Linked DNA regions of Kluyveromyces lactis. The protein of the gene in region 3 purifies or fractionates together with the protein of the main gene of each other region. This does not show direct contact. Links are inferred from orthologs where the notes say so. Each region holds a gene or a part of one and is shown on either strand. Other genes may lie near its edges. The genes, in order: LCP5, UTP13, NOC4, NOP1, UTP30, CSL4 and RRP5.

Evidence for each region.
Region 1: the proteins of NOC4 (region 3) and LCP5 purify together in Saccharomyces cerevisiae (affinity purification with mass spectrometry, with the first as the bait; 4 studies listed by BioGRID). This does not show direct contact. The link is inferred for Kluyveromyces lactis from reciprocal best matches to the Saccharomyces cerevisiae genes NOC4 and LCP5.
Region 2: the proteins of NOC4 (region 3) and UTP13 purify together in Saccharomyces cerevisiae (affinity purification with mass spectrometry; 7 studies listed by BioGRID, with this or other methods). This does not show direct contact. The link is inferred for Kluyveromyces lactis from reciprocal best matches to the Saccharomyces cerevisiae genes NOC4 and UTP13.
Region 4: the proteins of NOC4 (region 3) and NOP1 purify together in Saccharomyces cerevisiae (affinity purification with mass spectrometry; 6 studies listed by BioGRID, with this or other methods). This does not show direct contact. The link is inferred for Kluyveromyces lactis from reciprocal best matches to the Saccharomyces cerevisiae genes NOC4 and NOP1.
Region 5: the proteins of NOC4 (region 3) and UTP30 purify together in Saccharomyces cerevisiae (affinity purification with mass spectrometry; 5 studies listed by BioGRID). This does not show direct contact. The link is inferred for Kluyveromyces lactis from reciprocal best matches to the Saccharomyces cerevisiae genes NOC4 and UTP30.
Region 6: the proteins of NOC4 (region 3) and CSL4 purify together in Saccharomyces cerevisiae (affinity purification with mass spectrometry; 3 studies listed by BioGRID). This does not show direct contact. The link is inferred for Kluyveromyces lactis from reciprocal best matches to the Saccharomyces cerevisiae genes NOC4 and CSL4.
Region 7: the proteins of NOC4 (region 3) and RRP5 purify together in Saccharomyces cerevisiae (affinity purification with mass spectrometry; 9 studies listed by BioGRID, with this or other methods). This does not show direct contact. The link is inferred for Kluyveromyces lactis from reciprocal best matches to the Saccharomyces cerevisiae genes NOC4 and RRP5.

Annotation. Positions count from the first base shown.
Region 1 is NC_006041.1:1,205,624-1,208,534, forward strand, and holds LCP5 (small subunit rRNA maturation protein LCP5), read left to right. Parts: upstream 1-1,223; coding exon 1,224-2,411; downstream 2,412-2,911. Other genes in the region: rRNA-processing protein NSA2, read right to left, coding at 211-996; VFA1 (Vfa1p), read left to right, coding at 2,705-2,911. UniProt on the Saccharomyces cerevisiae protein: Component of the U3 small nucleolar ribonucleoprotein. Required for the early cleavages at sites A0, A1 and A2 of the pre-ribosomal RNA. Participates in ribosome biogenesis.
Region 2 is NC_006042.1:1,222,969-1,226,977, reverse strand, and holds UTP13 (U3 snoRNA-associated protein UTP13), read right to left. Parts: upstream 2,801-4,009; coding exon 356-2,800; downstream 1-355. Other genes in the region: RSA3 (Rsa3p), read right to left, coding at 1-16; KLLA0_F13222g (uncharacterized protein), read right to left, coding at 3,345-4,009. UniProt on the Saccharomyces cerevisiae protein: Involved in nucleolar processing of pre-18S ribosomal RNA.
Region 3 is NC_006038.1:952,665-956,184, forward strand, and holds NOC4 (ribosome biosynthesis protein NOC4), read left to right. Parts: upstream 1-1,454; coding exon 1,455-3,020; downstream 3,021-3,520. Other genes in the region: ASN1 (asparagine synthase (glutamine-hydrolyzing) 1), read right to left, coding at 1-171; PPT1 (protein serine/threonine phosphatase), read left to right, coding at 3,284-3,520. UniProt on the Saccharomyces cerevisiae protein: Involved in nucleolar processing of pre-18S ribosomal RNA and ribosome assembly. Has a role in the nuclear export of 40S pre-ribosomal subunit to the cytoplasm.
Region 4 is NC_006039.1:400,224-402,928, forward strand, and holds NOP1 (rRNA methyltransferase NOP1), read left to right. Parts: upstream 1-1,197; coding exon 1,198-2,205; downstream 2,206-2,705. Other genes in the region: trans-2-enoyl-CoA reductase (NADPH) TSC13, read right to left, coding at 1-367.
Region 5 is NC_006037.1:536,581-539,201, forward strand, and holds UTP30 (Utp30p), read left to right. Parts: upstream 1-1,308; coding exon 1,309-2,121; downstream 2,122-2,621. Other genes in the region: KLLA0_A05731g (uncharacterized protein), read left to right, coding at 1-853; KLLA0_A05775g (glycosyltransferase family 15 protein), read left to right, coding at 2,354-2,621. UniProt on the Saccharomyces cerevisiae protein: Involved in rRNA-processing and ribosome biosynthesis.
Region 6 is NC_006040.1:1,659,619-1,662,407, reverse strand, and holds CSL4 (exosome non-catalytic core subunit CSL4), read left to right. Parts: upstream 1-1,395; coding exon 1,396-2,289; downstream 2,290-2,789. Other genes in the region: BNI4 (Bni4p), read left to right, coding at 1-1,079.
Region 7 is NC_006038.1:728,557-732,649, reverse strand, and holds the start of RRP5 (Rrp5p), read right to left. Parts: upstream 2,801-4,093; coding exon 1-2,800. Other genes in the region: YPK9 (putative acid anhydride hydrolase), read left to right, coding at 3,967-4,093.

The DNA.
Region 1 (2,911 bases), on a different chromosome or scaffold from region 3:
GCATGAAATTGTCAGTCTCATTGGCTATAATTCAGTATTTAACGCTAAATATATGATTAAATAATGATGATTTAGCCAGTACTTTCTAATAAGGGAACTCAGTTCTAAAATGAAATAGTAATATACAATAACGTAGCGGAGTGGGGGGTGATGCAATAGGGAATAATTGAGATGAGTAGGAATTTTGGTAGTAATAGGTTGTACTTGTTCTTACACAAGTAGCACAGCGTTGACACAACCGTCTCTATCTGGCTCATTCGTGATTTGAGCATATTTACCCCAAACCACTTTACCACCAGAAGTAACCATACCTAATTCCGAGACGTTCACTTCAATAATAGTACCCTTGGTTAATACACCCAACTGTGTGTACATTGGCGATTGAGGATTCTTCTTCACCGCAAGAATTGGCAAGAAAACGGTGACTCCAAGTTCCGGATGCGTCACATTAGCCTTCTTTTGTCTCAAAGCACTAGGTCTGATAATCCTTTCCATCTTCACAGGCCTTCTTGTAAACCCTTCACCAACAAACGTATGTTTCGTGATCATTCTCTTCCATGCCTTAGACTTAGACTTACCTGTCTTAACAACTTTGAACATCTCTTCCTCACTGATACCTCTGACCTTAGGCAAAGGAACAGAAAACTTGTCAGCCTTCTCCAAACGCTTCTGCTTGATGGAACTGGATATAGCCTTTGCAGTGTTGTTCTGTTCTCTGTCTAACAAATAAGTAGGCAAAGCCTCCCCGTTCTCATCCAACGGTTTGGACCCTCCTTTAACTTTACTCTGCTCATGAGCACGGATCTTCTTCTTCATAGCAACCTTCTCAGCATAACGCTTCTTAGCAAATTGCTTACCCTTCCAACCAGTCAATTTCTGAGCCTTTTCAGAGATCTTATGAGCCTCACGGGCTTCTCTCTTACGTTTTCTCTCATCGTGGTCTAATCTACGACCATGTTGCTTGATGTGCTGTTCGATATATTCGTTTTGAGGCATCTTTGTTTTATTGTAAGAACGACTTGTTCGGTGATGACTTACTTCTAAATCACAAACGGACACACGGACTCCTTGAATGGACTTCTTACCACATGTTAACCCATGCGATGAGCTAGTTGTTCAAGTTGTCTTTGTATGCTTTTCTCATTGAAAGAAAAAAATTCAATAGGAAATGTCGAAAAGAAACGTAGTGAAAAAAAAAATTTGGAATCAAGCGATGAGATGAGATGAGATGGGTATCAGCCAGATACAAGTTTGGTTGTCTGGTGTGGGTTTGGCATAGGTTCGATCTACTGTTATTGATGTATAAAACCTCATTACATTCTATTGACAAGGGTTACAGCGGAAATATAGCCATGTCTGAGGAGTTAGGAACTGTTTTGAAAACGATTAGAGATTCTTTGAAATCTTGTGGAGAAAGCTTGGATAAGTTAGAAGAAGTCTATGATGATGAGGAGACCCATCCTTTCCAAGGTTCAGCGGTGGTAGGTCACAAAGGTGATAAATTAGAAAAAGTTTCTCTACTTTCTTTGAAGAATGGGAGTATGCTATCGTATTTGAATTCGCTTCTGTTGGTATTGGGACAGAAATTGAATAAAGAGATGGTTGTTGATGAGGGTAGAGTCAGGGCAGTGGAACAACGAGTTGTTCTTGAAAGAGGTGTGAAGCCCTTGGAGAAGAAGTTAGGGTACCAGCTGGATAAATTGACGCGGGCGTACATTAGACTGGAGAAAGACGTTGAAGAATCCAAGAAAAGAGCCGAATTGCAGGGACTGAGTGACGTACGTGCTTCCCAGGAAGAAGTATCAGACTCAGATTCTGATAGTGAAGAAGAGATGCAATATAGGCCGAACAGTTCAGGAATGGTCAATAACACATCAGTTGGAGGGAAAGCCAAGGGGAAAATCGCTGTCAAGAGTACTCACAATGAAGAAGATGTGGATGATAAAGATAACGTTTATAGACCACCTAAGATCAGTGCCGTTCTGCCACCAAAGCAACATCACTTCGAGGATAAATTCAACGCACAAGAACATAAGGATAAGAGTAGCAGGTCTCGTATGCAAGCTATGGAAGAATACTTGAAGGATTCCTCGGAACAACCGGAATGGGAAACTTCTATCGGTGCCAATATCGTCAACCATGGTAGAGGTGGTGTGAAGACAGCAAGAGATACAGAACGTGAACGTGATGTTCAAAGATTCGAAGAAGAAAATTTCACTAGATTGAACCCCAACGGATCCAAGACTGACAAGAGAATGAAAAAACAAAGAGAAATCATGGCCAAGGTTAATATGATCGCCGGTGAAGATTTCAGTATCTTCAACTCCAAGCGTAAGTTGGAGGATAGTACAAGCAGAAGAGGTAATAAGAAATCTAGAAATGCTTGGGAAAGAGCCAAGAAGAAGTTGTAAACCTGAGGTCCTTCTTTTTCTATGTATAAATAGGCTAAAATATCCATACGTCTCTATTGTCATCATATAGTGTCAAATACGTAGTTTATAAATCGAATGATAACGGTGTTGCACTGCTCAAACTCTAGCTTTGATGTGGTTTGTTTCGTTTCGTTTTGTCTCGTTTTCTTCATATCAAGGTGTAATCACCAATAATTAATTAATACAATCTAAGCGTTCCAACTTTGCAAGATATAATCACCACCTATCACCCCTACTAATCTCCTACCAGCGTACAACTTCCAGCGCCCCTGATGAAGAACGAATACACCAGAAAGAAAGTCTCAGCAAAGGATAGGAAAGCATGTCTGATATGTGGTAACCCTACAGTCACAGTTTTGTTCAATGGAAGCGGACCTGATTGGTTTTATACATGCGATATACATCTAGTTGATAACCCGCAGTTTGTACAGCCTCTATACCCAAAAGAGTATCACGAGTCTCTGGTTAGTCTTAAGCCA
Region 2 (4,009 bases), on a different chromosome or scaffold from region 3:
TATGTCCCTCTGACATGATAGTTTCCGATAGAGCTTCTCGTTAATATGGAGGAGAGTTAACTTTAAAGTATAACTGTCAAAAATTCACAGTTGAAGTCACCTTTTAACAGAAGAAGGATGAGAGCCGATCTCATCTCATCTCATCTCATCGCTTCACATCGTCTAGTTATTTGATGAAGTTTCTTTTGCAGGGAAACAAATTCTGTCTAAAACTCAAAGCCGGGTAACAAACTTATTATTCTACTGATGGATGGCCCTTGACTGGATATGGTATCTATTCAGAGTTGATGCGGTGGGTGTGTTGTACTGTTATATGTATATATCTACATGACGACTAGTGCTATATTTACATTCTTTATAGCAATTTGTCCATTTGAACTAAAGCGTAATCTAAGATATAACTTTCTTGAACCAAGTTATCCATTCTTGAGTAATGTCTCTCTGCGTATGAGATTATTGATTCAACGATCCTTACAAGCCCAGGAATTTCGCTCAACTCTTCAATATTTTGTCTTAGAAGAATACACCTTATCATCTTTTGGGCTACTGTGTGTGTTCTTGCATTTGTATTCCAATCTCTGCACCTTTTCACTAAAAGAAGAAGTTGATCTTTATCTAGAGTCGACACAACCTCGTCAATTTCGTTGTTGAAAACTACATTTGGATCCTCATTTGAGTTGTCTACACTTTGTCTTAAGACGTTGTACAATCTCATTGGGTGATCCAAGGTCATGGCAAGCAAAAATGCGTTAGTCCAGTCACCTTCTGAGAGATAATTTTGTAATGATTGTTCTTGTTCAATCTTCAGTTTCTCTTGCTCGAGGTTACGTTCGTGTTCCTCTTCACTGTTATCCCTCCAGAACTCAAAGAAGCCGTCAGCATCTGCTGTAACGAAGGATTCACCATCGTTCATAACAGCAAGAGCCCAGATACGGTTATTGTGAGCATCTAGTGTCTTGACCGATTCACCAGTTGATAGATCCCAAATAATAACTAAACCATCAGCACCAGTACTTATCAGTTGCTTGTTCTTGTTTATGAAGGAACATCTTTGAACTGCATTGGTATGTCCTTCCAAAGTTTTTACGACGGCATATGATTCTAAGGACCAAATTTTGATGGTCTTGTCACCGGAACATGTGGCCAATAACTTGTCATATTGACAGAATGCAACGTCCCATAGACCACGTTTGTGGTTTGCTAATGTGGCTTGGAATTCACCATCATCCAAATTCCATATTTTACATGTCTTATCGTATGAAGCCGTGGCAAATAGAGAATCATTAGGTGAAATGGAGATAGCATTGATATCCTTTTCATGCGCCCTTCTGGTATATTCTGAGGTCTTAACAAGTATTAGATCTTCGGGTTCATCAGATGTCACCTTAGGAACCTTCCATTTCTTTATGGTCAAATCGTTAGAAGCTGTAATTATGAATTCAGGCCATGAACGTGGCATAACATTAGGAAGTCCAACAGCATTCACAGAACCTACATGACCGACAAATTTAGTGTATGGATAAAAGTCTTCGTACTTTGCATGATATCTCCATAATATAACGCTGTGATCCTTGGATGCTGTAGCAACCCAGAGACCATCAGCGGTGGCATCCAAAGAGTTGAGTAGATCCGTATGACCCTCGTACATCTTTACTTCAATAGGAAATGTTTCTTTGTTCTCCCCATTTTCGAACTCTTCCTCCGAAGAAGTTGGGGTTGGAATTATTCTAAGAGTAGGAGAGTTAGTAGCTAATGCTAATTTATCCCGTTTTGGACCAACGAATCTTATATCTGCAATGGTACCATGATTACCTGCAATCTTATTTTCCACTTCAATTACTTCAGATTCCGATTGTAAAGCTGATTCAACATCTATTAGGAACAAAGTTTGATCTGAAAATACCAAGTACTGCTTAGTTCCGTTCAGGATACATAGTGTACCAATAATAAATAGCTCTTCAATAGGTTTTGCTGTTTTCTTTAATACTCTTCCTGTTGACAAGGACACTAATTGGTAAATGGCACCACCACCGGCTGAGTAAACCACATCCGGGTCCTGCGTAAATCCACACGATTCCACCTGTTCTATGACAGGGATGGTCTTCAGTAGCTTATACTTTTTCGTCGAATTAAACTCGAAGAGATTTAAGATATTGTCTCTACCACCAGATAATAACTGCAGCGTTCCCTTTTCTTCATCAGTGACACGGAAATCTAGCCCTCTAACAGCTGTAGTATGTTCCTGAATAGTGCATTGACAATTACGTTTAACTAAATCCCAGACTTTAATCATACCGTTGGTATCACCAGATGCAAGCTTCCAAATTTCACTGTTCAACTCACCGTGAAACTTTACACTTGAAATGGTAGCACCATGTCCTTTCAAAGAGTGCGTGACATATCCATTTTCAATATCAATAACACTAACACTACCATCAGTACCACCTATAGCCAAAAGTGTAGATGTTTGATCGCAATTCATGACGTACACCGGTGACGAAATCTTCATTGATCTGATAATTCTTTCTTGTTTCAAAGAATACACTCTGAGCAACTGCGCTTGTGAGACAAAACACAAATAAGAACCATCTGGAGTTAAATGCAATGCGGTGATGTCTTGTTCATCCTCAGTATCAACAGAATGCAACACTCGGCGTGGGCTATCTAAGCTAACAATGTTGATTTTATCGACGACCGAAGTCGCTAATAATCGTCCATCTTCAGAAACAGATGCTATAGCACCAGTACCAGCATAAAACGGCTCTAGTTTCGTGGATGCATAGGTAGTTCTCAAATCCATTGTGCGAGTGGGAGATCCAAGGTGCTGTCCTGGGTGCTAATAATTGGCCAGGTATAATCTTATTGGTTCACCTAGCATATTTCTGTGATGCGATGAGATGAGATGAGATGAATTAAACTTTTCAACATTCGAATTGAACAAAAAAAAGAAAAAAACGTAGACAATGAGGCATGGGTTATCATATGCTTGAAACAGAAAGAGATTGAACATATACAAAGGAGCTGAAAACCGGGAACGGTCTTTAGACAATGTTTATTTGCACTTACACATATTTGCTAAATATTTGCTAATATTCTAATGGATATGATTTTAAAGTTAATTGTTGATTTATGAGAGAAGTACAACACTCCTCTTACGGAAAAAATGGTGAAGCTGAATAGAGCTTCACAGAATGATATCTATGTAGATTATATCCAAGAAAGTGTAGTAGGTAGAATACAGATAATTGTAGTTTATGGTTATGCTTTAGTCGAGTAGTTTCGCATCAGCAGCAGTGGTAAAACCAAGGAATAAAAAATAAAATCAAAGGAAGTGAAAATGAGGGTTAACTTGGGAGTTCTGTTGATCCTCCGATGATTTCCTCCAGATCAGCTAGCGCCGTCTCACTGAAAAGTCCATTCTTGGTTACTCTCATATGTTCAGCAGCAGCTTCGGCGATACTGTTTCTTCTTCTCCATGCGGCAACATGGCTCATTTGTTCATGGTTAAAATCAATTTCTTCAATCGGGGCAGTCAGAGAAACCAGGAGATCTGCATCGTCACTGCCTAATAGATCAATATCTCCATCTTCATCTCCATGATGAGAAAGTATTAAATCATCATCAGATTTCAGCAGTTGATCAATTTCATCCATTCCTAATCCCTTCACAGAATTCTTCCTCGTTGGTAAAACCAGACCGTTGAAATCATTAGGTGTGTTTCCAGCATCTGCATCGGTGAAAACACTTGAACTTGGACTAGCCAAATTCACGCTAGAGGGAGTTTGAATGTTGTTGTGAGAATCTGCGTTGGGTTCAGTTTCAGTTTCTTGTTCAGGAGCAGTGAGCAATTTTTGCTTTTCAATTCTTTGCCTTTCCCTTCTGATTTTCAAGAGCTTCTTTTTCTTCTTTATCTTCCGTCGCTTTTCATCTTTCTTTCTTTGGTATTCCTTCATCTTATCGATCTTCCTTCTAGTCCTTTCACTACCAACGTAACCAATTGGGAACTTGC
Region 3 (3,520 bases):
AGAGTCCAATCCGACAATAGCCAATCTTTCGTGAACTAGAATAGTAGAGTTCTTAACAATGTTACCTGACCAATCTGGACCACGGTGTCTGATTCTCTTGGATAATTGTAAAGCTTTTGGTTTGTAAGCCTGAACATCAGGGTTTCTGAATGAAGCAAATATACCACACATCTTGGGTCCTGTTACTTCGTTATTCTGTATATCTAATTGATAAGAGCGAGTAAAAAACCAATACTAATACAAAACAAAGATCCTAACATAAACATATAAACAATTCTTATTACAAGCGAGCATTAGTTTTCTTGTGATGAGCATCAATTCTTTATACTTTTTCCAAAATTTTTCACCAGAGCTTGAATCGCCGTATTCTTTTTTCTTTCGAGATATTGAAAATGACTCAGTATCAATTGCATATCAAAAGAATATGACAAAGCAGCAGAGAAACGAAAAGTAACGAAGTGAAAATGAAAATTGGTGCCAGATTCTAACTCTGATTCATAGTTGATTCATTTGTTCCCGCTCCGACTTGTCATATTCACGATACCATCGTATCACGGCATTTTTTTCTATCTAATATTTACGTTTACGTTTACAGTTAGTTTAGTTTTTGAAATGAATCGCACAAGGCGATTCATATTAGCAAGAAGCAAGACTCAAACACACAAACTCACATCAAGTCTATACATGGGATGACCTTCCCAAAAAGAATCAGAATTTTATAAAAAGTGTCCCAAATCATTCAAAGAATGTAACAAGATTATAAGGCTTGCGAGGGCACCACATTCTCCATTAAAACCATGAACAGAAAATAATTCCCATCCACGAAAGAATTGTAAGAATTAAAAAAGCGCAAATAGTATCATCGTCTTCTTTTAAAACTTGGAAGGTCATGTGGATTTAAGCCCAAAAAGAGTAATACAAGTAAAGCCTATCAAAGTTACATCTCTTCTACATCACCAATTGTGTCTTGTAATTTCTTGGTTCATAAATCTTTCTCTTATATATGATGAAATTCGGGCTAGATCATTTTATACTAATCGTTGAAATTTGTATGCTGTTAGGGCTCATAGGCTGCCGTGAACTGGAGGATACGCACCCCCTGAAGGAACGAGCATCAGTGTGCGTATTCAAGGTGATGCAGGCAAGACTTGACTGACAACAGAATGGTTTACCACTCTAAATTATATATTTAATGTCGCCATTGATAGCTAGTTTATTAGGAAATGCGATCACGTGATAAGAATAATTTCTTTTCAATTGTCTTCTACATTGCAAGAATCTCTGAAAAATTTGGAATCAAGAGATGAGATGAGATGAGATGAGATGAGATGAAGTCGAATAGGAAACGTTAAGGTAGGATATTCTCACCGTTATAATCTGTTTGATTACTCGCAATAAATAATTGGAATTCACATATAAAAGTTTCCCAAGGATTCAGACAGCGATTAACCAAGATGCTCTCGAAGGAAGAGATTAAGCAAGTTTGGAAGTCTATTAGCACCGGCAATGATAGAAAACATTACAACTCGTTGGTGAACCTAATCCATGGGTACAATGAACTTCTAAAGGAAAACGAATTGTTGCACAATTTGGAAGATGATTACCGTTATATGACCATTGCTTTGAGTCAGATTTTCATCAAACTTTTTGAGCGTGGTCAATTGATGCCTCATCTTGCATCCAATGCCAATGAAAAGAAATTCTTTGAATGGTGTAAGAAACTATATTTAAATTATAAGGTTAAGTTATTGGCTATCATTACATCTTTGCATGAAGTTAACTCGTTGAGTTTAGATTGTTTGGACTCATATATGAAAATGCTTCACCATGAATCGATATATTGGGCTTCGAAACCAAATAGTCCTTTCTTTCCAAATAAGACTTTAAGATCGTTACTAGTGGCTCTTTTCCATTGTAACTTTGAAGGTGATATCGGTTTCAAAGATGGTCAGAGCGAGAATCCCGTGTTTAATCTATTTGTGGAAGCCTATTATAAGAAGAATTTCGATATTCAATTCTACACACAATCAGAACTGATATCGTTGTTACCAGAACTTGATGGCCAAACATCTGACGAAATTTTGATGTCTAAATGGTTGGCTTTATGCAACAACGATGTTCAGGGATCACCAGACTTGGAAATATTCGTATCTGTGCCCCCACAAGCCATCGAGAATGATGCTAAGTTTAAATCCAACCTCGAAACAAATTGGTTGCACTGTCTAAATTTAGCCAACTTATCCAGTAGCCAATATAAAACTGTGCTTTTAGTGCTACACAAGAGAATTATAGTATGGTTCCATCAACCAACAAAGCTTATGGATTTCCTTACCGACTCTTACAACCAAGGTGGTATCGTTTCAATCCTTTCATTAAATGGTTTGTTTGAACTTATGAAAAAATACAACCTAGAATATCCAAATTTCTACTCAAAACTATATCAGCTTCTAACTCCAGAAGTAATGCACGTTAAGTACAGATCAAGATTTTTCAGATTAGTGGACACCTTTCTATCTTCTACACATTTATCCGCACAACTGGTAGCGTCATTCATCAAACGTTTGGCACGTTTATCCGTATCGGCACCACCAGGTGCTATTGTTTCTATAATACCATTCGTGTACAATCTAATCAGAAAGCATCCTACATGTATGATTCTATTACACGATCCAGAATACATCGACTGCGATTCAAAGAAAAGGCAAGAATATCTAGATCCATTCAACAATGAAGAAACCAATCCAGAACTTACAAATGCTCTTTCCTCCTCAGTATGGGAGCTAGAAACGCTAATGAATCACTACCATCCAAACGTAGCCACTTTAGCGAAGATTTTCCAACAACCTTTCCAAAAGTTAAGCTACAACATCGAAGATTTCTTAGATTGGTCTTACGATTCACTTTTGCAAGCAGAAACCAATAGAAAGCTGAAGATCCAACCTGCTCTTGAATTCGAAAGGTTTGAAACAATTTTCGAATCAGGTTCTGATTCAGCATTCCTACCCTTCATAAAATGGTAAATACATAATTTCAAGTAGAAAACTTAAGTAGTTCAATTCCAAATTGAGTACTTTCTTTCACTTTCGCAAATCTCTTCACATTACATCTCATCACATCGCCGTAATATTGAAACATCGAGATGAAAAAAATCAACAAGTCAACATCAAGAAGAGAAAGACTCACATCAGAAAAAACTTTAAAATGGGCTCCGTTTATCGGTCTTGAGGACTTAAAGGCACATACCATACCAGTTGGCTGCTTTTTTACCACTACTATTGAATAAATGACTGAGGAAGTGAAAGCCTGTAATCCAGAGAAAGCCTTAGAGCTGAAGAATGAAGGTAACAAGTTCGTGAAGGAGAAACTGTACGCAAAGGCAGCTGAGTATTATACAAAAGCCATCGAGCATGATCCCGAGAATACGATCCTATATTCAAACCGTGCGTTCACCAACCTAAAGTTGGATAACTTCCAAAGTTCTTTAGACGATGCTAAACGTGCAATTGAATTGGATAATAAC
Region 4 (2,705 bases), on a different chromosome or scaffold from region 3:
CCCTAACTGTTGCGTTTAAAGACAAAAGGTAAACTAAAGAATGGATCAAGATCGGACCCAAATATTCGATGAAAAACACCAGTCTCCAAGAGATCTGCGGACCCAAATCCTTAACATACCACTCGTTAACTGAATCGAACGTGTTTTTCTTACCAACATCGTTCAATTCAGAGGGCCCAATGGCGACTTGCTTACCTTCTTTCAGATAGCTTAACCTTAACCTGTTAACGCTAATATTGTGATTGCTTTTCGAAATCTGTTGCAAAACAGATTGATATGTCAACGTATTTTCTGTTGGAACTTCCAACTTGACGTCTTTTAAGCTCTTTGAGCGTGATTTAATAAAAATTGAACTGGATGCAGACATAAAGGGACACTTATCTAGGTAATATCTTCAACTGTCGGATTAAAATATACAGCGATAGTTTGGAAAATAGGATCTCAAAACTAAACCAGAAAATTTATCCAGATATACTAATTCAGATTCTGATTGCTATAACGTACAAAAGTCAAAGCTGGTTCCACTTCTCTGATTTTTTATCTGCTTTTATAAAGATACCGATATTCACAACAACAACCAAAAATGATCTCATCTGCATATTTTCGCAATGTTGACTATGAAAAACTTGTATAGAAATCCTTAGTAAACGTACGCATTGTAGCAAGTATCTGGCTCAACATAGCAAAAAAAAATCTTGAAAAGTTGTAGATTCATATGATTATATAATCAATTCATATCACGTGATACAGATGTGACAATAGTCATGTGACTTTAACGTTCATCGTTCTGTACGTACCAAGAGGCACAGAAAGACCAAAGATGAGAACTTTGAAAAAGAAATTTAATATTGTTTTTTCATTCAAAATTTTTCAGCTGAAAAAAAAAAGTTTCGAAAGCTCATCTCATCGAATGTAAAGTAAGAGTTTATTAAGTTGTTCTTGCTTGAAAGAAGTAATCAATTGTTTATAGAATAGTATTGTGTACGTTTTCTGTTCCTATAATCTACCCATTTTAGAAGAGTTTTACAGCCGTCCAGGATTCTGTTTCAAAGTCAACGACAATACCTGTTACTGATTCACAATTTTAATTCTTTTTTTTTCCTTTGTCCAATTTAGAGAGAAGAAGATCAAGAGCAGCAACAGCAGCATAATCATTATATCTCAAGACAGATAATTCCCAACTAGTTAAGAATAATAATGGCATTCCAAGCAGGTTCTAGAGGTGGCAGAGGCGGTTCCCGTGGTGGATTCGGCGGTGGTTCCAGAGGTGGTTCCAGAGGTGGATTTGGCGGTGGCCGTGGTGGATTCGGTGGTTCCCGTGGTGGTTCCAGAGGTGGATTCGGTGGTGGTCGTGGTGGTCCTCGTGGTGGCGCTCGCGGTGGTTCCAGAGGTGGATTTGGTGGTGCCCGTGGTGGTTCCAGAGGTGGTCCTCGTGGTGGTGCTCGTGGTGGTGCTCGTGGTGGTGCCCGTGGTGGTGCTAAGGTTGTTATCGAACCTCATAAGCATGCTGGTGTTTTTATTGCCAGAGGTAAAGAAGATCTTTTGGTCACAAAGAACATCGCTCCAGGTGAATCTGTGTACGGTGAAAAGAGAGTTTCAGTTGAAGAACCTTCCACTGAAGAAGGTGTCCCACCAACTAAGGTGGAATACCGTGTTTGGAATCCTTTCAGATCCAAATTGGCTGCCGGTATCATGGGTGGTTTGGATGAACTATTCATTGCTCCAGGTAAGAAGGTTCTATATCTAGGTGCTGCTTCCGGTACATCTGTGTCCCACGTTTCCGATGTCGTTGGTCCAGAAGGGTTGGTTTACGCTGTTGAGTTCTCTCACAGACCAGGTAGAGAATTGATCTCTATGGCTAAGAAGAGACCAAATGTTATCCCAATTATTGAAGATGCTAGACATCCACAAAAATACAGAATGCTTATCGGTATGGTTGACGCCGTCTTCGCAGATGTTGCTCAACCTGATCAAGCCCGTATTATTGCTTTGAACTCTCATATGTTCTTGAAGGATCAAGGTGGTGTCGTTATCTCTATCAAGGCTAACTGTATCGATTCTACTGTTGATGCTGAAACTGTGTTCGCTAGAGAAGTTCAAAAATTGAGAGAAGAAAAGATTAAGCCTTTGGAACAATTGACTTTGGAACCTTATGAAAGAGACCATTGTATCGTTATCGGTAAATACATGAGAAGTGGATTATAAGAGCTGCTAAAGAAATATTGATATTTTGAAACCAATGCTAGAGTATGCCTACTTGGTTCATGATTCCTTCTATTAATCTTTTTTTTTTGGCTTCTAATCTTTTTTTGCTTACTTTTTAGTTTTAAAAACCTTCATTCCAATACAATCATTAACACTATAATATTATTTGAAATTTTGCATCTCATTGATTCGTGATAAAGTTCTACAAACTAGAAAAGTCTCCACTTCGTCTTCACTTGTATTTTGTCACTCTGTGTGTTTCTTTTACTTACAGTCCAGGTCCTTCGCCTGTTCAAAGGAGATCGACTAACTGACGGGAAAAGAATAGAAGAAGATTTCAAAACCTTGTTCATCAACTTGACAATACAAAAGAACCCATTTTCACAATAACGGTATTAATACTCGAACACTCTTAACCTTATTTTGTACATTTAATTTGTAGATATATTATTATTATTATCACATACTATATATAACTTATATATATCAATAACAACCAT
Region 5 (2,621 bases), on a different chromosome or scaffold from region 3:
GGCTATCCACATGGACGTTAAGGTCCATGCTTGTATCGGTGGTACTTCTTTGCAAGAAGATTCCGAAGCTTTGAGAGGTGGTGCTCAAATCATTGTTGGTACTCCAGGTCGTGTTTTCGATATGATCGACCGTAGAATCTTCAAGACTGACAACATCAAGATGTTCATCTTGGATGAAGCCGATGAAATGTTGTCTACTGGTTTCAAGGAACAAATCTACAACATTTTCACCATGTTGCCACCAACTTCCCAAGTTGTCTTGTTGTCTGCTACCATGCCAGGTGATGTCTTGGAAGTCACTTCCAAGTTCATGAAGGACCCAGTCAGAATCTTGGTTAAGAAGGATGAATTGACCTTGGAAGGTATTGGTCAATACTACGTTAACGTTGAAGAAGAACAATACAAGTACGACTGTTTGACCGATTTGTACGATTCTATCTCCGTTACCCAAGCTGTTATTTTCTGTAACACCAGAAGAAAGGTCGAAGAATTGACCGAAAGATTGAGAGAAAACAACTTCACCGTCTCTGCTATCTACTCTGATTTGCAACAACAGGAAAGAGACACCATCATGAAGGAATTCAGAAGTGGTTCTTCAAGAATTTTGATCTCCACTGATTTGTTGGCTAGAGGTATCGATGTCCAACAAGTCTCTTTGGTTATCAACTACGACTTGCCATCCAACAAGGAAAACTATATCCACAGAATCGGTAGAGGTGGTCGTTTCGGTAGAAAGGGTATTGCTATCAACTTCGTCACCAATAAGGATATCGGTGCTATGAGAGAATTGGAAAGATTCTACTCTACTCAAATTGAAGAATTGCCATCAAGCATCAGCGAATTGTTCGATTAAACTTAATAAATAAAAAAAAAAATAGGAATAATCAACATCAGATCCAAACATTTATTAGGAGGAAAAAAAGTTAAGTTTGGCTTTGTCCGCTACTGTTATTTTCTTTAACTATCTCTCTATTCAAACTCTAATCTTACTTACTTTTAACCTTTATCTCTCTATGTAAATCATATCTTCTAGAAAGAAACAAACGAATACATCTTCTGTATATCTTTACTGAACATACAAAGCTACAGCTTACCATGAAGGGTTTCGTTGAAGTTGCGTCTTATTTATGCACCATCGGAGTGGCTTTCACGTCCGTTTTTGATATTTATCATTTATAACTCTTTATGAAATTGATTTCACTACAAAAATTTTACTAAATGGAGACATCTCATCTCATCTCATCTCATGGATGTAAAGAATAAAGAAAGGTTTGTTGCTACTCTCGATAAACCAGCGAACATTGGGCTATGCCAATCGAATTAGATACTGATGGTGCTACAACCAAGGCTCTACGAGCTTTGACGAAACAATGTGAAGTGGATCCCAAGTTAGCTAACGATACCAGCATCCATTTGATCATCAATACACAACAACCTGTTGGAATAAGAAACGACCACGTCCCCCGCATCATTCCTTTGAAACACAGCCAGATGAAATCTGCAAATGATGTGCGAATTCTACTGATCTGTAAGGACCCAAGTACGCTATATCGAGATTCGTTGACGAAGGAAAAGGCTACGGCAGAATTATTCAAAGAAATTATCAGCGTCAAGAAACTGAAGCAACGGTTCAGAGGTAAAAAACTGAAAGAGTTATATAATGAATTTGACATGATAGTAGCGGATTACAGAGTTCACCATTTATTACCAAGTGTCCTGGGCTCAACTTTCTACCGTTCGAATAGAAAGCTGCCGTTTGTTGTAAGAATGTCAAAACAAATTAAAGAGAAAGGTTCCAAAATGAAGGAAGATTGTGACCCAAAATACGTGAAAGCACAAGTAAAGTCCATATGTAAGAATACCTGGTTTCTACCAAACAAAGACAACTGTTTAAGCATTAAAATTGGGGAAATCGGCGTACATGCTGAGGCGGAATTAATGGCGAATGCAGAAGATGTGATAGACTTTCTGTGTGACAGATCAAAAAAGCCACAAGGTGGGTGCATCAAAGATGGGAAAATCTCCTCTATATTTGTCAAGACTAGCAACAGTCTGAGCTTACCAATATGGAAGAAACTAGAACAAGAATCAATCGATGACGATGAAGAAATTAGGCTATGAAACAACTCCAATTGGTCTTACATGTACTTTAATTTAAGAATAAAAATACTATTATAGAACCCTCTCAAAAATAAGCATATCATTACATAGTTGTAATTACTGGTGAATCCTTCCGTACTATGTGAAACAGCTAAATTTCTGCCCTTTCCTTCAAGAGGCTTGAGCAGTATATCTTGAACTTTGACAGATTTTTGATGAAAAAAATGTATGGAATTCTTAAAATAGGCACTGTATGCAAACTTCATGCATATATAAGATGATCTATAGCGATGGCAGTTCCCTAGCTGGGTATTCGATGTTCGCCCTTCGGAGAGTGTACCTTGGTGCCTACGCTGCTATTGTATCACTGTCATTGACTTTATACCTTATCCGTGTGGGTTTTGCTGTCATTAAGGAAGTATATCTGCATCAAAGAATAGAACAAGGCTTTTTCCCTAGATCCGAAGATGTCCTACACAAATATGACAACATAAGGCGGTTCAATAAGAGTTTTGGTGAAT
Region 6 (2,789 bases), on a different chromosome or scaffold from region 3:
TAACGAAATCTCCGGTGAGCAGTATTCTGCGCAGCGGAAAGTTTGAAACTACGTCTGATGAAAAAATATCCGCCAGTTCTGATTTGGACAATAGTCATGGTACTCGAAGTGCAAGTTTCACAATTTCACCACAACAGAGAGATTTTTCTTTTGGTTCCATAGAGCAAAAGTTAAACGAGCTGACAATGGAATCTGATCAAGAAGATCAACTAGAAAAACCATTGGTGCAGAATAAGGCAACTAAATCTAGTCTTGAAGATTCAGATAATGAAGACAACGAATTAATCTCAGATATCATGGAATTTGCAAGTATAATAGACTTTGGACAAGATATCGAGTTAAATTTTGATCTCTATTCTGACAATCGTTCACACTATGAAACTCTAAATCCGGTCAAAGAATCTGTGAAAAACTCTCTATCCAAGCCCAGCTTCAATACTGAGACAGAAAACTCATTTCTTGTGGAACTTACTAACTCCCCAGAAATTAAGACAAACAGTTCAGTACTCAACCAAAAACAGACTGGTTTGGATGATCAGAAACACATATCAAGTACTATAAAAACAAGAGACACATCACCAGAAAATGTTAGCAGTAGCAACCAAAACACTTTTTCTGATAGCAGTTTATATTTTGATAATTATGATGAGGAAGATTTTGAGAACGAAGATTTTAATGGCATACATGCAGTAAAAGAATCCCCAAAGATCAACGCATTTTTACCAGATATCACAACATCGATGAGCAGGCCTATATCGATGTCTTTTAGGGGTTTGAAAGCGCCACAATTCAACAGTACCATGGAACTTTCAGGGCTTACGGGACTTGAACATATCTCAGATCAGATGTCGAAGAAATCGGAAGAAAGATCTAGCTATGCAGCAAAACTTGTTAAGTTTTCCTCTCAAATAGTCCTTTATGAGACCTATGGTGAACTTGAGTATGATAGGCATCCTGATTCGGCAACATGCAATCAACTTACTCCTCAATTGGCCCAAATGATAAAGGACGAGCTGAATGAGCTTAAAGCAGAAATGGACATTCACGAAGATTCTATGTGCAACACTCACTTCTTTTAGTAGACCTATAAATACATGTAATCATAGTAGTTAAATCATTTACCATGCGTTTCTATGTTTCCCTTTATATGGATTCAAATCGTGCACGTAGCTTTCGTGTTGAGCCCGCTTTGAAAGCTTTGGTAATATTACCCTACTATTTGAAAATAATTCTAACTTGTCTTCAACATCTCCCAAATTTTGAAAATTGTTTCACTCATTATGAAAATGATAAAAAAAGAGCTGCTTTATGCGATGAGCTAACAGTAATACCAAACTAGCTTAAATATGGCCTGTAAGATAATAAGAGTGTTTGATAACAGTAAGGTTTGTCTATATGCATCGTTATAAAATGAAGCCTTTTAAAAATTTCCCCCAGACTGTTATACCCGGTGATCTTATATGTCCAATATTTGATGTTGATGATGATAACAAGCAAGAAGTGGTAATACGCTTCCTAACGGGCACTGGCTGTAAACAGGAGAATTTTAGAGTTAACGGCAAGAACGTTGATATTATCGTAGCCACATTAAAAGGTTCTGTATCTGTGGAAGAAGTTCCAGCAGATATTATCGAAGACGACGATCAAGAAGACTCAGAGAATACGACGTTTGTAGAATCTCATGAGACCACCGGAGGGGATGCAAGCTCTGGCAATAGTAGAGTTATAAAAAGTTTCAAAGTATCAGTATCAAATCCTAGCAAGTTTGCTAGCAAGTATGTTGATGACCAGTTTGTCAATAACCTTCCGCAAGAGGGCGATATCGTACTGGCGAGGGTGACCAGAATCAGTTTGCAAAGAATAACAGTTGAGATTTTAGCAGTTGAGAATTCGCCCTTGCCGATCGACTCTGGTGTCGGAAGCAATGGGACTGGCATAATTGCTGCTGCTGGTGGATCTGGTGCGTCTACGTTTTCCGTTTCGCAAGTGTCCGCGGATTTGGGAGAAACTTTTAGGGGCATAATTAGATCCCAAGATGTAAGGGCCACTGATAGAGATAGAGTAAAAGTTATGGAAAGTTTTAAACCTGGGGATATAATACGTGCTCAAGTGCTCTCACTTGGCGATGGTACCCATTACTATTTAACTACAGCAAGGAATGACTTGGGCGTGGTGTTCGCTAAGTCTTCTAACGGAGCTGGAGAACAGATGTATGCAATTGATTGGCAGACAATGATTTCACCAAAGACCGGAGTCGCTGAGAAACGAAAATGTGCAAAGCCCTTCTAATATAGTCGGAACACAACAAGCTTTTTGTTCAAGTCTATAGGTACCTTCACATACATACATTTACAACTTTCATTTACATTTACATTAGTTTCGTATTAGGCTTCACGCATATTGGGAATATTGAGGAAGTTTCTACTAAGATCATTGTGAATTCAACGCCTGAATATCATATGTTATTATCAGAAAAGTTAGTTGGACTTTTAGTTGATTGGGAATTTCAACTCATCGTGGTCACCTCTTAAATCATATTCACTCAGTCCAACTTTTTTTCCGAACTTCTCAAATCTTTGTAGATAATGCTTTCTCTTCTTCTCTGCAATTTGAGTTAGGACAGGCCAATAGGCTTCATGATTATATTTGAAGTCGAGGTTACCACCATAAAGCGTCTCGAGTTGATCAGGTGGCACATAATTTGGAAATGGTTCATCAAAAACCAATTTTTCACGAGTCAACGGATCAATAAAAGGATGGATGAGCTTCAAAAAGGTCCACGCAAGCCA
Region 7 (4,093 bases), about 220 kb from region 3:
GTGAATCATTTTTCTTGTACACACTTAATGGTGCCTTTTGTTCTTTGATATCTTCGAAACTGTCGAAAACTTCAGAAATACTGATACGACCATGTACATTATCAGCCAACGTAACGTTAAGCTGGTTCTTCTTAACTGATGTAATTGTAGCCTTTGTAACCTTACCGATAGTGAAGTCCGACAAATCTTTGATAGACTTGTCGACTGGGTTAATTACAGATGAATTGATCTTCTTAACATCGGTCTTTTGTTTTAAAATAGTCAATAAAAATCTTTCATGTTCCTCATCTGTTCTCAATAAATACACGGTCACGGATTGATTGATGTAGTATTTCTTATGAATATCAATATCTCTGGTTTCTGCTGCATAACTTGGTAAAACCAAACCGACAAATTTACCATTGAATGCAACAAAAACACCACGGTCAGAAACAGATTTAACGTAACCATGCATCGGTTCTGTTTTGTCTTTATTTTTGATGTCGGAAAAACTTAAAGGAAGGGTACCGTCTTCAGCATCTTTAATCAATGATTTTTTACAGGACATGTTGAACACATGAGTCCTGATGTCCTTGTCCAAAACCAAACCTCTAACTTCAGAGTTAATCTTTAACTTTTTCTGCGAAGCTCTGTTTTGTTCAATTCTATCATCTGACAAATGGCCGGTGTAAATAACACCGCGCAACCCTGAATCTTTAGATTCTACGATGACGGAATCTTTAGTCTTTTCAATAACAATTGCATCGATGATAGATTTACCGACAACTAAAGATTCAATAGCACTCTTTTGCTTGGAAGAAGACTCTGCTGAAATTTTACAAGAAGCAATAATTCTGTTTCTTTCGAAGTCATGATTCAAAATTTTAACCAAAACACTTTGTCCTAGTCTTAAGTGTTCTTGTGGTTTCTTTACAAATGCTTCTGAAATTTCTTTGTTTGGAACGAAAGCTTTGATATTATTAAAGAACGAGATAACACAACCATTAGGCTTGAATATTTCAACAGTACCAATTGTTTTCAATTCTTGACTTTCAACAGTCTGAATATCATCATTTTTGCAGACTAACGTCACAGATTCTTCGTCTGCATTTACAATAGACTTTTTCAATGTCACAGTGACACGGCCCACAGAATCGACATTGAGAACTCTACCTTTAACCTTTGAACCAATTTTGAATTTTCTTTCAGGATACACAAGTCTGGTATCAGATATGTGTAAGGGAGGAACAAATGCCTTAAATTGATCATTGAAAATTTTTAATTCAATACCTTTTCCTGACACTGTGACAATCTCACAAGCGCTCAAAACTTCGCCTGCTGGAATATCGGACGATCTTAGGTATTTGACATCAAGTAAGGCTGGATCAGACGTCAATGTGTAAAGTTTATCTACATTGTTATAGCCGAGTATTCTTGCTTTCACAGTTCCCGTTGGTTCAGTTTCTCCTGCCTTTGACAAATGAATTTGTCCCACCTGTTCATTGTTGATTGATACGTAGAAAAATTGACTATCCCTGCCTTTAACTGTGCAAGAATCGAAGATATAGCCAACGGGGAAAGATTCTAACGCTTCGGTCTCCTGTAATTTTGGATGCAATGAGATGATATGAGGTTGTGTGGAAACGACAGCAACTTTATCGCCGCTTTTCACTATAGTGGTTGCCAAAATTCTAGCATTGACTAAGTCACCAATGGAGTAGTGATGCTTCAAATCCTCTACCGTAAAGAAATTGGAATGTGGCAATGGCAAAAATGCAGTTATTAGACCGAAGGCTTTACCGATAACACCGTGATTTGTGATAGTTTGAGGTAAAAAGTCAATCGATTGACCCGGCACGATGGCATCTATGGAAGAGATCTTTTCGACCTTGGTGTTTTTACTGGCCAAATCCAAGTTGACATTTACAGTTCTACCAGATCTTTTCGTCACTGTAGCTAAGAACACCATACCTGGTAACAAAGAACTGAATTCAGGTATATCCTTCTTTGAGATAAAACCTGTTAAGTTCTCAATACCGATATCAAGAATGGCACCGTGATCTTCTATACTTTTCAACGAACACTGTAGTGGACAGTTTTTAGCTAAATCATCATCTTCAAACACGTTTACTACAGAGGGTTCGATGGATAAGTCTAACTTTTTGTTCTTGTTTGATTCTAAAGCGCTGTTATTTTGTACCATGCACCTCAACCATTGGCCTATTTTGAAATATTTATTGAGATCAGGTAATTCTTTAGGAGTTGTTATGTCGCTTTCATCATCTGAAGAATCGTATTCTGAGTCCTCATTTTTTTCATCATCGCTTTCCATGGATTCGTCCAAATTTTCCAAAATCTTGGTCATTTGTTCAGAGATATCTGTTAATGAGACGTAACCATGCAAACCGTCCACCAAAGATATTTTCAGTTCATGTTTGCTGATCGATTGGATTTGACCCAAGACAATGGTCCCTTTGGTCATTTGTTTCATTCCAAAATGCTCAATTAAATCAGTCTTGTCCTCTTTTTCTTCATCATCACCTGTGGTAATTTGATCAAAATTATTCTTAGCATTCTTCTTTTTCTTCTTCGTTGGGCCCTCTGCACCAGTAGCTGATTCATCCTTGCCAAATAAAACATCAGCAACCACTTCGTTACCAACCTGCTTAACTTCCAATGGGGATAAAGCAGAAGAACCACCTCTTGGAAATGAGATTTCCTCGGATTTACTCAATGCAGATTTGGCTGGTGCTTCGGTAGCATCCTGTCTTACTAAAGGAGACTCATCGTCTCTCTTTCTTTTACTTTGTGGAGCAACCATGTTTGTGATCTTTTTCGGTATTTAGATATGCCTGTTTTCAAAACAAATTACACCTAGCAATTTAGATGTAAACCTATGTTTTTCTTGAAGTGTCTTGCAAACTATTGAAGCTCCTGTTCCCAAGTTGTTGTTGTTTTTGTCTTCTGTGAAGATAGAAACCAATAAAGCCAATAGAAAGCACAAAGCAAAAAGAATTCAGAGAAAGATACAAAATATGTTATACCAAACTGTTTCCTGTTTGAGAAAGTAAACCAGACTTATCTTTACCAGAATTAAGAAAGTTGCACTTGGTTTCTAGAATCAACAAAGCTCAGAAATGTGTTAGCATACCAATACAAATGATCCAGCACTTAAGTAGCTAAAGCTCATCTCATCTCATCTCATCTCATCGCATCGATTTTTGAAAATTTTCAATATTAAAAAAAAGAAATCAAAACGACATAGACGAAATGTAATCGCGCCTTTGATGCAGTGACAGTTTAATAATGGAACGTTGTACAGATCTTCCGTTGTTATCACTGGAGTTTGTTTGAACCGTATCCACGGATTAGGGTCTTTTGAATGCATGACATACTTCTTAACTATTAAGGGCTTTTGTTAGCCAGTTATTCTATCTTCTTAAAGAGGTATAATAATTACATATCTGTAATGGTGGAAACCATGTAACTAAAAGGTTCTAGGGGAGTGATAAGAGTTTTGTTGGTCATGCTAAGAAAAATTTGTGCAATTACGAGTGGAATGCCTTCTATGGTAATAGTTTCAGATCAGACTATATGTTTTTTCTCTTTTTTGTTCAATTTCATTTCTAAAGGTACTTTCACAGCCGGAAATATTTATTATAAGGCATAAAAGCACCATCATATTACAGTCTAAAGCTGTTTCTGGCTCCTTTCGATCCATTTTCAGGGGCAGTCTATATATCTATCGAACTACGAGAGTTTTATCAACACAGTAAAGTTCCACATTGTAACGTGAGGTATCATTGGCCTGCCTTTTCTCCTATCCTTCCTTATGTATTATGTGTCTTGGTATGAAATTTCATTAAATCAATTATCTTCAATTTATCAACCTACATTCTCATATATATCAGAAACCTTTAAAAAGTAATATGGAGTGGATTCTATCAATAGATAAGGTCGACCAACGCACCTTTGAAGAGGGACTCAATGTCATCATTCGACAGCAGATTTACAGGAATACCCCATAGTGCGAATAAATCAGCAAGACCGTCCTTTTCTTCGACAAGGACGGGATCCAGCGCTAATACAACTACTTCATCAGCAATCTTGGAAC